Struthio camelus: one gene and its partner. The main gene of each other region encodes a partner of the protein of the gene in region 2 in a complex. Links are inferred from orthologs where the notes say so. Each region holds a gene or a part of one and is shown on either strand. Other genes may lie near its edges.

The links. The genes of interacting proteins can lie anywhere in the genome.
Region 1: the proteins of KCNJ4 (region 2) and TAX1BP3 are in contact, whole or in part, in a crystal structure (PDB 3GJ9), measured with the Homo sapiens proteins. The link is inferred for Struthio camelus from reciprocal best matches to the Homo sapiens genes KCNJ4 and TAX1BP3. Residues at the interface, in NP_004972.1 of Homo sapiens: Arg440, Arg441, Glu442, Ser443, Ala444, Ile445; in NP_055419.1 of Homo sapiens: Leu27, Ile28, Leu29, Gly30, Phe31, Ser32, Ile33, Gly34, Gly35, Asp38, Gln39, Gln43, Asn44, Thr58, Arg59, His90, Asp91, Arg94, Leu97, Thr98.

What each region holds. Positions count from the first base shown.
Region 1 is NC_090957.1:17,790,648-17,797,810, reverse strand, and holds the start of TAX1BP3 (tax1-binding protein 3), read right to left. Parts: upstream 3,074-7,163; 5' UTR 2,947-3,073; coding exon 2,908-2,946; intron 1,338-2,907; coding exon 1,218-1,337; intron 914-1,217; coding exon 836-913; intron 445-835; coding exon 307-444; 3' UTR 1-306. Other genes in the region: EMC6 (ER membrane protein complex subunit 6), read left to right, coding at 3,481-3,810. UniProt on the Homo sapiens protein: May regulate a number of protein-protein interactions by competing for PDZ domain binding sites. Binds CTNNB1 and may thereby act as an inhibitor of the Wnt signaling pathway. Competes with LIN7A for KCNJ4 binding, and thereby promotes KCNJ4 internalization.
Region 2 is NC_090942.1:58,352,480-58,360,245, reverse strand, and holds the start of KCNJ4 (inward rectifier potassium channel 4), read right to left. Parts: upstream 3,034-7,766; 5' UTR 2,224-3,033; intron 2,005-2,223; 5' UTR 297-2,004; coding exon 247-296; intron 1-246. Other genes in the region: KDELR3 (ER lumen protein-retaining receptor 3), read left to right, coding at 7,417-7,507. UniProt on the Homo sapiens protein: Inward rectifier potassium channels are characterized by a greater tendency to allow potassium to flow into the cell rather than out of it.

The DNA.
Region 1 (7,163 bases), on a different chromosome or scaffold from region 2:
AATCTTGTCAAAGTTAAGGCTCCTCCAGTTGCTGCCTTACATAACCACTTTGTCCTGTCCTCCTGAAAACCATGACTACTCTAGGGTCTTACCATGTACCTGCAGGGAAGACTTTAGAGAAGCACTCTGCTTAGAGGACTAGAGTTTTACTACTGTCAATTACACCAGAAAAAGAAAAATAGTGTTTACCACAGGTCGGAACATGCACTCCTTCCAGACAGCCTGCTCAGGTCTAGTATTTGCTTCCTTGCTTGATATCCAGTCTATATCTCTCCCTCCCCAACCCTTCCCCAACCTCATGATTGATTAGGACATCATTGATTGTTGCACAGCCTTCTGCAGAGATTGCCTGGTCACCAGGAGCCGTACCACCTCTTCATTTCTTTTGGTCAGCCTCTTCCTGGCTTGGTCATGAGTTACCATTGTCATATCCCAGCCATTCACCTAGAAAAAGAACATAACATGCTTCAGTAGTCACAGGCAGAGCAAGTCTTGACAAAGCAGGGTAAGACTGACACATAGGGGCAAGGCCTTAGGCTGCCCCATCTCTGGTGGCTTCCCTTAGGCCATCTAAGCCTAGCAGCTCTTCTCAAAATCCAGCCAACGGAAACAAAACAAATCAGAGGCATGTGCATGGACTCACAAGAGTCCAATTACCTTTTCCACTACATAGTTCTGTAAGAGCACTTAACTGACGTGTGGCATAACCCCCACAAAATGCCCTGGAAAGTACCTAGAAGACGGTACTTCCCCCAGCATAAACTTCTCTGCAGTGCACACCTGGGTGCTGCATAGCTGGGTACTGAATTAGTACTTGTCTTATGTTGGTGTTTACCTGCATGATCTTATCTCCGATCTGGAGCCCTGCAACTTCTGCTGGGCCTCCTTCTGTCACCCTCGTTACATAAATACCCTGGAAAAAAAAATTAAGTGTTCATTTACTACATATGGAAGTACTGAATACTCAAACAGCCACTTTACTGACAATGAAAAAACACTTTGTAGTCTACTACAGGATTCTAGTTAAAAACAGGCTTGTGCGATGCTGGAAAGTAGAAAAGTCGCACAAGAGCTAACTTCAACGCGAGCCTGTCTGCAGATGATTACATGTCAATGGAATAACTTGTCAGCCATGTGAGATGACAGAATACAGATGCACATGAGTATGCGCAGCATTTTGCAGAGATAGTTGCTACTGAAAGCAAAGAGCATCTGACCTTGTCAGTCTTATCTTCAGAGAAAGGATTCTGAGTAGGGTCCTGGTCGATGCCACCTCCAATGCTGAATCCTAGAATCAAATTGTCACCTTGACGAAGCTTATGTATTTCAATTCTTTGCTAAAAAGAAAAGAGAATAACTGAGCATTGTGATCACTGGAAGTGATCTTAAGTCTGTTTCAGAAACAGATGCATATAAGCCAGTTAGATATTTATTTCACGCAGATGCTATAAACCTCAGTTAACTTTACTAGAAAAGGCTGTATCACAGCCTTGGTTAGAACAAGAACCACCTATCTATTCTGCATGCATTGTAAGCAGGCAAACAAGCTCTAAAACGCCTTGGCAGAAAAAGCTATTACACAGTATTTGTTGTCTACCAGTGACACATAACCTTGGTGCTGGCCGCACCAATTGGCTCTAAACTGTTCTCAGCCGTACCACAAAACGGCGTGGCAGAAAAGCATCGGCAAGCTCATCCCGAGGGTACTCATGCCGCTACACAGCCAAGCTTCTAACCTAGCCAGCGCTTTACCGCTGCACTGAAAACAAGGGGCAAGGCATTAAAAACTGAGAGCAGGTCTCCCTGAACGTGAATCAAAGTTTGCTAACCAGCAGTCATTCATATCTAGATTCATCTTGCTTTTTGTTTAAGTGCCTCGTGTTCCTGTGTAGCCCTGTCAATGGAAATATTAGTCTATTACAATGGTTCTTCTTAGGTTCTCAACCCTTTTTTGTAATTTGAAGGTAAGCAAGTTCCTTGCTAACTGAAGAACAGAGGCATCTGACAAACTCTACAGATTACTGAAGTACTGTATAACTGCCAGCTTGCAGGAATTTCTGAGTCAAGATAAAGAGCCAGGATCTTTAACTGAAACAACACCCACTCAGAAGGCGCTTCTCAAACCTCTGCCTCAGTCAGGAGCTGAGCTCTCTGCGGGCAGAAGGCTCAGGATCTCACTAGGAGACGAGCTGCTTTGCTAAACCAAGACAGCTGACGCGTCCTCAGGGATGTCGGCTCTTCCACCGCTAAAAGCGGTGCAGCATATTCCAGCTAGGTCAACAGTCAAACCACCTGAAAGGCCACTTAAGTTAACTTAGTATTTTAATTAGCGAAAGAAACAATACAGCAACCCTTGCTTGCGTTCTGTTTTTTGATTAAGCACTTTAACATAATTTTTAAAAGCTCTGCTTCATAAAATTCAAGTATACAAGGCAGGTCCTTGTCCGGTCTGTATCACGCAGTTGCACGTAGCAGAGGGCACTGAACAAAGCACCCAGCCAGCCGCTCCCGCCACATTACCACAGAAACAACGCAGGGAGTAAACCAGGTCTTGCGGAAAACACCCTGCACTGCAAAAGAGAGCAGGCTTCGCTCAGAGACGCTCGCGTTACCCAGTTACAGCAGGGTGCAACAACTACTTAGGCCTTAACGCGAGTACCAAAAGCCGCACGAGAGACGCTCAGGGCTTTCAAGCGGGTCTGTCACGCAGCGCTGCCAAAGGCTGCCGTGGGCCAAGCGGCTCCGCAGCAGAAGCGCCTGGGCCCAAGTCAGCAGACAGGCGCTCATGGCTCCGGGGGGCAGCCGGGAGCAGCCCCGGCCCGGCCCCGCCCGCGGCGGCCCGAGGAGGAGCCGATTCCCGGTCCCGCGGGGTCCCCGCAGCAGCCCCGCCGCCGCCCCCTGGCTCACCACCACGGCGGTGACCGGCTGCCCCGGCACGTACGACATGGCCCCGCCGCCGCCGCCGCCGCCCGAACAAAGCGCCTCGCCCTCCGCCGCCGCCGCCCCGCGCCGCCAGCCAATGGGGCGCCGCCGCCTCGCCGGCCGCTGACGCGCAGCGCCGGAAGCCAGGCCGCTCTCCCGGCGGCCCCCGCGCCAAGATGCCTGACAGGAGCTTCCGGCGGGGTGGCGAGAGGCTCGGCGGCGGCGGTAGGTCGGCGCGGCGCGGCGGGGGCGGCCGGGGCCGGCAGGGCGAGGGCGGCCGGGACTGACGGGCGGCGCGCGCGGTGTCCCCCGGCAGGGTGCGAGGCGTGACGGCTGGGCCCGGCCGCGGGTGCCGCGGAGCAGCTCGCCGCCGTGGATGAGAGGTACGAGCCGGGCCGGGGCCGGGGCCGGGGGGGGAGATGGCGGCGGGGCCTCGTTACCGGGGGCGGCGGCGGGTTGAGGAGGGGGGACGGGAGCGCCGCCGCCGCCGCCCAGCGCGCGTGTGCTCTGCCGCAGGCTCGCCGGGAGCGAGGCGATCCCCGGAGCCGGCGGGCGGCCATGGCCGCGGCGGCTAAGCGCGAGGGGCCGCAGTTCATCAGCGAGGCGGCGGTGCGCGGCAACGCGGCGCTGCTGGACTACTGCCGCACCTCGGTGTCGGCCCTGTCGGGCGCCACGGCCGGCATCCTCGGCCTCACCGGCCTGCACGGCTTCGTCTTCTACTTCCTGGCCTCCGTGCTCCTCTCCGTGCTGCTGGTGCTGAAGGCCGGGCGGCGATGGAACAAGTACTTCAAGTCCCGGCGGCCGCTCTTCACCGGGGGGCTCGTAGGGGGGCTCTTCACCTACGTCCTCTTCTGGACTTTCCTCTACGGCATGGTCCACGTCTACTGAAGCGGCGAGGAGCCGCCTCAGCCGCAGTGTTTTTTGTTTCTCTCAATGAGGCAGGAGGACTGTTGCCAAAAAAGTCGTCGACACCACTAGGCCAGCTTACCTTGTAAACCGTTGTTCGTTGCTTGTATTGTTAATGACGTCAGTAAATTATGTCCGAGCACAAATGAAGCGGTAGCACTGTTCTAATTAAACGCAATGTGAAACATCACTTGGACGTCTCCTATGAATACTCGTGCGGTGGTTGAGGGAGGCCTTTTGTCCTTCGTTGCAGTCACGTCCATGGATTTTGCCCGCCTTAGTCCTTGTATCCCCTGCATTTTACAATTAGAAACACCAGTCATCTTCCCTTGTGGTTTTGCAGCTTGCGTCCGCTTACGAAGACTGATGGAAGTAGCATATAACACGTGACCCTAAAAATAATCCACTGACACAGGGAAACAGTTCACAGTAGTATGTAATTAAGTGCACGTAAAGGTTTGGTACAGAAGTATATGAGTGCAAATGTTATCTTTCACAGTTGCTATATGTACACTCTAAAAATAAATGACATTTTCACATGTACTCTTCACTGGCATAAACAAAAGTCAGTACATAATACTCTCAGAAGTCCAGCACTTTGCTCTGTTCTGAATACCATTGTGCCCGATGAAACAGAGGCAACCAAATGAAAAATACAGCATCTGATTAACTGCTCCCTCAGCCTGTGCTGAACATGCCTGTAAGACAGCATTTTCTCCAACCGAACCATATATTACTGTGGTTCCATATATTTCTGGTGGGAACTGAAAGGAAAAATTAAGCACCTATCATACACATAATCTCTCTTTGCTGTAGAGGTGATCCTGCAAACAGTGTTTGATCAGTAGGTTAAAATGAAAGGCTCCAAACTCTTGCACAGGGTCAGTGTTTTGTCATACACTTTCCTCTACGAGCACATGTTGCTCCATCTGGTTCTCTGAATCAGTCGTTGCTTCACCAGAACCTTGTTTAAGATATTCCCTGTTTACGGTATACAAAGTTATTTTTACAACATAAGGTACTGCATTTAAAAATACTTTACTGAGAAGTCAGCTTCTAGTGAAATACAGGGTTATACAAAAGTTAGATTTGAAACTATAAACATTGCCTCAGTCATGTTACCCGTGGTCTTTTGGGGGAAAAAGATGGTAAAGTTTTTAATTCCCTCATTAGCATACTTTGCCAGATTCATGCTGTCATCAGAGAAGAATTGGCACTTGTTACCCATTAATGGGTATCTTTTATACATTTGTACTATTCAAATACTTTCTAGACTCTTAATTAATTGTTTAGTATAAATATGTATCACCAGAGGAAACTAGGATTTACATGGGTAAGAAGCTACCTAAAGAACGTGACTTAGAGAGGATACTTGGACAGCATTGCCCTGAAGTGACAAATTTTATTGCTGTACATAAAATTCAAGAAAAAAAAATCAAACTCAAGAAGGAAAGAAGCTTCTGATAAGGAATCTGGCTGTTATGTTTTATAAAAAAACAATAGTTATGGAAATTCTGTTAAACAGAGGGTGTAAGGTAGGGAAATGCTCGAGGGAACGTGGGCAGGGGCTGAAGCCCCTGAAGATTTCAGTCAGGAAAGCTTAGGTTGTCCAACTAGAGGATGTTGTTTTGTCAAGTGGAAGCATTGGTTTCAGAACAAGGTCAGCTCTATGCGTTACGATGAGCTATCTGGTCTCCAGGTATTGCACCTTGGCCTAATGGGACATGTGTTCACCATGCATTTCACCATCTAGAAGTCATTTAAATAGAATTAAACTGACAGTAAAAAAAAAAAAAAACACTGTGCTGTTTTATTGGTATGGTAATTCTCATAGGCCCAACTAGTGCAGTCAGTTACATGCACATTGATTCATGGTTGCCTAGAGGAGAGACTTTCAGAGTGAAGATGCTTTGGTTGTGATTATAGCATCGGAGGTACGCAGCTTATCCTAAATTATTTTAAGTGCAATGATTAATTCTATTTTCTAGCTAAATGTTTGACTGGTTAATAAGTAATTGCATCTGAACAGAAACAGGAAGAGAGCGGTGGACCAGATTGTGCGCAATTTGCTCTTGGTGACTTGGATTCAGAGTTTGCCACTGTTAAACAAAGGCAAATTTTAATTTAGAAGCAAACCGTTCCTTGGAGTAGCCACTTGAAAGAAGTTAAAGCAGAGGTGAGTGTGGCTCTTTTTTCTGTTTGTATCCATACATAGAGACCGTGCAGCAACAGGAGTCCTTTAATCTTGATACCCAAGGAGCGAACTGAAATACCTGGGAGTCTTTATCATGACTCCTAATTGATGGCGACCTTTACAGAACATTTAAACAGTTTGCACTCTGGTGCAGAGGCTTTACGTGAAACGATTAGTATTTCAAAAAGACAGAAGTATTCACCTATTCAATATTCATTCTTCAGGAGCTGGTGAGTCAATTCCTGTCAGCTCCAGGAAATGCAAACTCTAAAAGTAAACAATGTTGTTCTGTAAGCGTTTTCTCCTCTTAGAGTAGTTACATCCCCACATGAGCCTAAATTCACAAAATGGGCTGCAATGAGACTGTGCAATTGAGAAATGAAAAAGCACTCGTAATTCTTCAAAGCGTTTAGATAGTGGAGCTATGACTTCTAAAGTTTTTTCCTGTTGGTACATTTAGAAGAACCAAGGAAAGTTTGTTTTAACCAATAGAGCTCCGCTTTGCAACTTCTGCAGAAGGAAGAGATACAGGGCGAAGTGACCAAGCAGCTATGAAACATGGCAGAAGCATAAAGACCTCAGTCAAGATCTCTTCCCCCCCCCCCCCCCATAAATTGTAAGTGATGCAGAAAGGATAATCCTGTGCCAACATCAACAAATGAAATCAACCACGAAACAAAGAATGGAGAACCTAAAATCATCTCCATGCCAATACTGTCAGTGCTGTGTTGCTTTTCAGCGTGCTAAACCCCTTTCCCTCCACTGTCAACTACAAAAACATCTGACCCTGCCCTGCTTCAAAATATTCTTCTGCCTGCTGATACCTTTTCCGTACTCCAAAATGTTGGTTCTCTGGTCCAATTATGAGTGGAAAACCTGGGCAGCAGATGAGGTAGCTGGGACCCAGACAGGGCTAAAACTGATCTTCCATTCAAAGTTGTGGCATACTCATTCTCCTCTTGTCCCACCACTCCTAAGAGCGATGAGCAGAGCACCTTGTTGCAGCTGTTTTAAGGGCTTTTCCTGAAGGAGCAGTTTTTCTAGCCCTCATGGTTACACAAACACAGCGTTGCCCCCTGAAACGTGCCTAGTCAGCATGAGCACTGTAGGATAATGAGCCCCATTTCCCTGGGCTCTGTGG
Region 2 (7,766 bases):
TACAAACAGGTGTGTTTCTGCCCCTTCGCACACACGCACTTCGTTTTCTATATTTACATATGCAATGCACACAGTCAACTTTGTTATTCACTGGCACTCACATGAAGCCACGCATATCTCACTAAGTTATATTTATAGCTGTTCCTCAGAGCTAGCGCAGATGAAACAATGCATTATTTTCAGAGGAAAAACCTTCCCATTATCATGCCACGAACGGGAGTAGCGCTAACCAGCACCATCTCTTACCCAGGTCCTGCCGATAGCTGCTCCCTGCTTGAGCTGTGGAGAGCCAACATCAGAGGAAGGGAAAAGCGGGTGATTTCTCCATCTCACCATGAAATGCCTCAGCTCGCCTGGACTGAAGGAATCTGGGAGGTCTCTCTTCAGCCCTCTCTCGCCTCTTTTCTTTCAAGTAGCTACTTCCTCCCCGTGACTTGCTCTTCTCCTAACTCTCCCCTGTTCATGCCAGTGCTCTTCTCCTTCCTCTTCCTCTGCCTCTGCCTCTCTTCAGCATTTTTTGCTCTCAGGAGTTTCCATCCCACGGAGCTCTGATTTGTGGCTGCAGCTTGGTGATGAGTTCTGGTCTCTCCCTTCTGCCTGTTTCTCTCCTTCCCTTTCTTTATTTATCCTTGCCTGCTCTATCCCCCTTCTCTATTTCACAAATTTCTGTGCCGTCTCTACCGGTCTCCCTTCCACTCTTCCTCTCTTTTTCCTCCCGCTCTCTTCCTCTGGCTCTCTCTCCCCCTCTCTGATTGCTATGCAGTCTGTAGCTAAGAAGTCAGTAACTCTGTGGTAGGATCCAACAGCTTTCCGCTACTTTAGCCCATCCTCGCGTGTGATCTCAGAGCCATGGATACACGCTGCAGAGCTGCAATGGGGGAGAGGAGAGTGCAACCGAAAGCAGGGGGAAGCGGCCAGCCCGTAGGAAGCCCCTGGGGAGGCAGGAACTGGCCGCCGGTCTGTTACAAGAGGCTTAAATAGCCATGGCCAGGATTTTTTCCACCTGGCTCCAGAGTGCTGAGCTCAGACCTCGCTCTGAGAAAGGACCAAATTCTCCATCTAAGTCCCCAGCTCTTGCATAGCATTTGCTGGAGGTCTCGGGACATCACCGCAGGTTTCCTGGGCCCCTGAGGCACAAGCGGCTCCCACCTCCCAGCACCTATGGCCAGGCCTTTCTGCTTGGCAACGCCGCTGGCTGTCCTGCCTGGGACAAGCATCATGCTTGGGATGGAAACGGTGGGATGGAGCAACCAGCCAGAGGGGCCCCCAGTTCCTGCCCTCCCCCCTCGGTGTATTTTATGTTGCAGCTCAATGGAGAACTGCTACAAGGCCACCCTTGCAGAGATGCCGAAGCCCCAGAGAGGCGCCAGACATAGAGCCTGCCATCTTCCCCAAGCCATCTACTCATGTGCGTTGGGAGGCGATAGGCTCGCAAGGCCTGCTGCATACATCCAAGCCACTTTCTTCGCCGAGCATCAGCCCTAGGAGCTGTAGCATCACTGTGGAGCTCGTTCAGGGCCTCCAGAGATGCCACACGATGGCTCCGCCACAAATTTTTTCCTGGACATTTCCCCCTGGAGCTTCACTCCCTGCAACATCTCAGGGGCTTTGAAGAGGTCTCTTCTTCAAGGCAAAGGGTGGCAGCGTGGGAGAGGGAGACGCAGGCGGCTTCCTTACGCCAGTGCCAAGTAGTGAAGTTGTCCCTTTAATTTTGGAGGGAAGCCGGAGACTGTAAGTAGGCTGTGACATTGCAGCCACCAGCTACGCGCACGACCTTCCTAAGAACAGCCTTGCACCAGGCCAGCGGTGGCGGCTGGACGTGTTTTCCATCTCAGTGTCTCATCTACCATCCCCAGCGTTAAGACACCAGCGCAAGCCAAATTCTGGTGCCTTCGAAACGAAGCTCTCATTGATCCTTCCTGGAGAGCCACAGGGGAGCCAGCTGTGTCTCCACAGCCTGCGGAGAGCCAAGCTGTCGTCAGGAGACCTCAGCTCGCTGAAAATCTAGAGGGGTCAAAAAAGATCGAAAACCACTGTTTTGATTGTCCCGTGGGTCACTGTCCTGCAGAGATCACACCCTCCCCCCTCCCAAAATCATCCCGCGACCTCCCAGCGCGTGGGATGCAGCCTCGCACAACACGCCGCGGGGACCACCGCCCCCCCAACGCCGCTCGCCCGCGCGCCTCGCCGAGCATCGCCGCAGCGAGCGCAGCCTGCACTTACCTGGGAGAGTAACATCAGGAGAACAGTGTATTTTTAGCATCTCTCAGCACAGATTAGCAGCTGCAAATGGGGAGAGCAGCCAGCATCCTGCCAGCAGCCAGCTCGCCCCAGCCCACCTGCAGCTGCTCCGCAAAGCGCCGCTCGCAAAGCGCCCGAGCAGGAGAGGTCCCGGCAAGCACAGGGGCTGCAGGAAGCGGTGCCGGGCCTTCAGCGGGGGCAGCGCTCCCCCACGGGCCCTTCGGGGTCAATCCCTAGGGCAGGAGGGAAATTTCAGGGCAGCGTGGGAAGCCCCCTGGGACGCCTCGGGCGGGAGGGCACGCGAGGAACAAGTCATGAGACTTGTGTCGTGCACCGGGGGTCCGGTTTCCTTCCCGGTGACTTTATCAGCGAGAGCGCTGCTCACTCTTGCCTCATGCTGACGCCGACGTGGAGAGCAAGCGCGGGTGCCCCGGCCCCTTCCCGGGCTATGCCAAAGCCCCCTCGTGCGACCTGGGGCAAATGGCTGCCTCTCCCGCCGGTGCCACCGAGAGCCTCCTGCCCCGGCTCCGGGATGAGCAAAGCCACGAGGCGCTCGGGGCCTCCAAGCAGCTGCTTAACTTTCATTTTGTTTTTCACCGTCGATCCCTTTCTCTTCTTGTCGCTTGACGCTCCGCATCACTCCGAAACCTCTGCACAGCCGGTCTGGCTGGGAAGGACACTCGAAGCGGGACCGAGACAGGCGGCGCCAGCTGTTGGTTCCCTTCGTCTTTCCGACCGGAGGCCCGCTAGCTGCGCCTCCCGCGCCGCCCAGCGCCCTTCCCGCCGGGCCCGGCACGGCAGACGAGCCGCAGCGCAGCGGGGGCCGCCGGACGGGACCTGGCGGACGTCATCTCCGGGAAGCGGCCCTGCCCTGGCCGCCCCGTCCCCGCACGTGTCCCCCCCGCTCCCCAGGCCGGCCGTGGCCCCGGCCGCCACGGGGCCCGCCGGCCCCGGCAGTGGGGTGGCTCACACTCCCCACCCCCGCCCGTCTCCACCGGCACCGGCTTTAATAAGCAGCGTGGAATATTTTAGCACCTATGGAAAAGCCACCACAGACGGTGGTGGCAGCCGTTGCCAGGGAGACGCTCCCAAAAATAGCCCCACTCCGCCAACCTTTCCCGATGCTGCTGTGGGGATGGGGGAGGCGGAGGGATTGGGGCTGGGGCGGGGGGACGACGCAGGAGCTGCCGGCAAGGCGCACGAGCTCCCGACCCCTCTGTCCCCCGGGGGCTGCCCATGGTCCCCACGTGGCCTGGAGGTGCCTCGAGCTACGGCCCCGAGTGGGAATGGAGGGGGACTCCCGGCCAAGCAGCTGCCCGGGGCAAAAGCCTTGCTGGTGGCAGAAGACATATGCTTTAGCAAGAAGGAAACCTCCCCTTTTCCCCTCCTTCTCCTGGCAAAACAGCTGGGATCAGGGCAGGGCCTGAGAGGGAAAGTTCGGCCCTCGAAGAAGTTGCTGCTCCCTCGCCCAGGGGCTCTCCGGGAGCGTGAGTCCCCCAAACCTGCAAATGGAGAGGGGGAAAAACGAAAATAGAATTTAAAAAAAAAAAAAGAAGAAGAATCCAAATTCCAGTTTTTAATGCCAAATCCCAGCTCCCTCTCCTCCCTGTCACCCTGGCGACATTCCTTGCAGTCGCCATGGAAACGGGAGGCATGGAGAGAGCATCACCGAGCACGGCAGTGGCAGCGCCCGGCATTATTTCGGGAGGCAGGGAGACACCCGGTGCGAGGCGCTTTATGTTGTGGCAGGGAAGGAGGTGGGGAGGAGGGAAGGTTTATTTTTACTTGTTCCCTCTTCGTGTACCAGTTTTTCTTCTTTAAAGCACTCGGTAGCCCGATGCCTCTCATCCTCCCGGCGGCCTTTGCAGGCCCCCCGCTCTGTGGCCTGCAGGGTGGCAGGGGTTTGCATGGTGCATGGGGACATCCTGCAGGGAGACCCCGACTCCACCACCACCTCCCAGCCGGGGCTGGGGGCGCTGTCTTCCCCTCCTCTGTGTTTTCCCTTCGCTTGCTCTGGCTCTAGCGAGCTCTCAGGGACGCTCAGCCGGGCTGCTCGCACGAAAACCCTCTGACCATCACCTCACCTGGCAGTAGCCGCGACCACAGTAGAAAATAAACCCAGGGCTTGGGACTCAGCTGCTCTGCTTGAGTCCTGTGAAGGCACAAGGTAAAGAGAATAAACCTTCGCCACTGGCAAGAGTCTTACCTCGTCACTGCTGACTACAGGCAAGCTTCACCCTGTGGGTGAAGATGTGAAGAGCACCAGGGCAACAAAAGGGCTCCTAAAACCAGCGAGAAGAGTTTGTTGAGGGAAACCCAGCAAGAAGGGGCTCAGGATGAGGCTAGAAAGGGCACCCCAAGGAAATGGAGCAAGGCCCGCGGAGCGATTCCTGCCCCATTGCCCGTACCCACCACCAGCTTATTCACAGCCACCATCTGCTGTCCTCAGCATAGAGACCGTTATGGCTACGCTGCCGGCCTAAGGCAGCTCTCCGCCGGAGCCACCGCAGCCGATTGCCACTGTGCTAAGGCCCCACCTGCGCCACGCAGTGCTTTTCCTGGCCAGCTCCCTCCGAAGGCAGCGAGAGCCTTTACCTGGCAAATTCCTGCTGAAATCCAGAATTACTCTGCTCCTGTGGCTGGAAACCTGATTTCAGCCTAGGTCACTGCCACTTCATACCCGGTTGTTTCTTTGCAATGTTGTCCTTTAGTCTAAACAACTCTTCTCCTGCTCTGCTATTTTGGGCCCGGACGTACTTGCAGGCTGCAGGCAGGGGCCCCTCTCTGTGTTTCGCTGGGCTAAGCAAGTGTTTTCTAGCCAAACCTGGAAACTCGGGCTGGAAAAGCCCAGTACGCCAGGTGTTGTAGAGGCAAAAAGGGAAAACACGGCAGCCAGCCTAATGGGCAAGGAGGAAATGTATGCAAATGTATTCAGAAAGGAATCTGGTTAACGTTAATAGACTTGTTAGTCCTCTTAGTAAGCACCAGGAATAATATTTTTACACTTTAATCATTAAGGATTTTACTCCAGACTGAGCCCATGAGGACCTGCTAAAGGAAGAAGAACCGAAGGAAACTGCTGCAGGGGAAGCCTGGGGACAGAGCGGTCAGCAGCCGAAACTGGCTGCCGGACAAGAGCAGCATGGGTCACGTAACCACGGAGGAGCAAAATTAGACTAACAGCCGGATACGATTTGCTTGCGGACAAGGTGACAAATTAAACCATCCATTTGTCATGGTTGTATTAAAGGAGCTTTATAGTAGCAATTAGATAATAAAAAGGGCCCTGTAGTGTTCTCCTACTGCTGAGCCCATCTCTATGCTGAGGTCCTCGTCCCCCTGCCGGCACAGTGAGACCCTTCGTTCTTTGCAGCTTCACCTCTGACGCAAGAACAAGATTTATCTCAAATAGATTGGTCGCCCTTTACTGTTCCTGAATATATGAAAACTCTGTAACAATGTCACTGCTAATATCCTTTCCTTGTTGTTAAATCTATAAAAATGGTAGCACATGTGTATTTCTTTCACACAATATGTGCCTTCCTTGTTTTTCAATCCACTTGCAGGAGCCCATATTTTCAGTGAAGGTTATGTAAAAGTAGCCTTTGGGAGAACTTTTTTTCCTCTGGAGCTGGGCTCTTGGAGCCTCTTGGTTTCCAGCTCACGTCCATGAGCCAACACACAAGCCACGTTCCCTCCTCCCTCTCTCCGGAGCTTGGCTGTCCATGGCTGAGGCCGTCCCCAGGCTCTTTTCCAGCTGCTTCACCACGAATCCACATTTCTTTTGGAGGAACAACCAGAATCAGGCGCACCGCTCTGGACGAGGACACCCAAAGGCCGTGTGCAGCGTCGTGTGTCCTCAGCAGGGGCACTTGCTGAAGAGACATAACTGCCCAGACTGAGAGCTATTTAGCTCAGTGTCCAGCCCCCAAGAGCGGTCAGTGAGGGAAGCGGCTAAGGCCCAGAGCAGCATATGTCAGTATTTGGTGATAGGCACGCCCCCCCCCCCCCCCAGCCCCCAGGAAGAAGCCAGCAAAGAAGCCAGGAAGTGCCCTAAAACATTCAGGTAGATGAAGGTCCCTGGGGCAGCAGGGATGACGGCACAGAGCAGGGGAGGGCTGCAGTGTTTTGGCACTCGAGGGAGGGAGAGGCGACAACCCTCTGCCGGGTCCAGGCAGACCCAAGAGGGCTGGAGGCACGGTCGCAAGAGAAAATCACGCAAGCCCAAGACATTCAAATCGAATCTCTTCCCACCCCCTTCCTTCGATCTACGAGACGGAGCGGAGCGGAGGGGAGGGGAGCTCTGGGGGAATGCCAGGTAGTTTTTCCTAATAGCAATTTCTGTTAGGCTGAAGGATCACTGCCCAGAAAGTGCTAGAGTGAACACGGGGCTGTGCAAAGCCCTAGAAAGCAGGCTGCAGAGCACAAGCCTGGCCAGCTCGGAGCAAAACGGGGATTAATGTGTCCAAAGGGACCATCGGCGTCCCTCGAAAGCCTGACACTCAGAGGACTGAGTCCTGACCCCTACCCCAGCCCCAGACGATGGATAATCATTTCCGTTTGCCTTTCCCCCTTTAAGGACACTTCCGTGTGTAATTTGAGACAAGTAGGGGAAAAAAGAGGAAGGGGGGAAAAAAAAAGAAAAAGGAAAAATAGCGCAGTTATTCCTGCCTCCTCCTCCTTTCTCTCCTCCCCGGACAGCCAGGAGCCACGTCACCCAGTGCTGGCTTTGGGATTGCTGAGCAGACTTAGTCTGGGTCCTTCTTGGGGATAAAACCCAACTTTGGGAGATCAGCCTGGAGGGGGGAGAGCTGGCACTGCAGGCAGAGAAAACCCTCGGGGGCAAACTGGTTCTGGTGGAGAAAAAAATCTACCTTGAGGTAAATTTAAAGCAAGGGAGGAAGTTCACCCTGGAAGGGAAAGTCGTGCAGGGAGAACGGGTATTTTTTAATGGAGGGAGTCTGAATTTTCCTCCGCCAGAAGAAAGGACTCCATACACAGATTAAAAAGAAAGTTCACTTGGAAGAGAGCAGCTACTTGATCAAGGCTAGGGGAAAAACTCACTGCCGAGTTTTACTCAGTAGCAACCTTTTGGGGAAGCCCTGGAGGCTGCCCTACTCCCGTCCACCTGTGCCAACACCCTGCTTGCTTTGCCTCTGAGGAGCCCACGTAGCAATGAACGTCTTCCGGATCCTGGGAGATGTCTCCCACTTGCTGGCTATTATCATCCTGCTGCTTAAGATCCAGAAGTCTAAGTCCTGCGCCGGTGAGTTTTCTCCACCCGCTTCCACATCCTTTTCTTTGCTCGCTGGGGAAGGAGGGGTCCCTTCTCGGAAGGCAACTGTGTGAGGGGTCCGAGGGAGAAGGCCATGGAGATGAGGTGTCTGGGCAGAAGGAGGTGAAATCAGGCCTGCTCAGGCTAGCGATAGCCTGTGCAAGCTGTCATCCCTCCTGGCCTGGGTCCTTGGAGATAATTAAGCTTCCTTCTCCTTGCTTTCGATCCTAGATCCTGCTCGTCTTCTTGT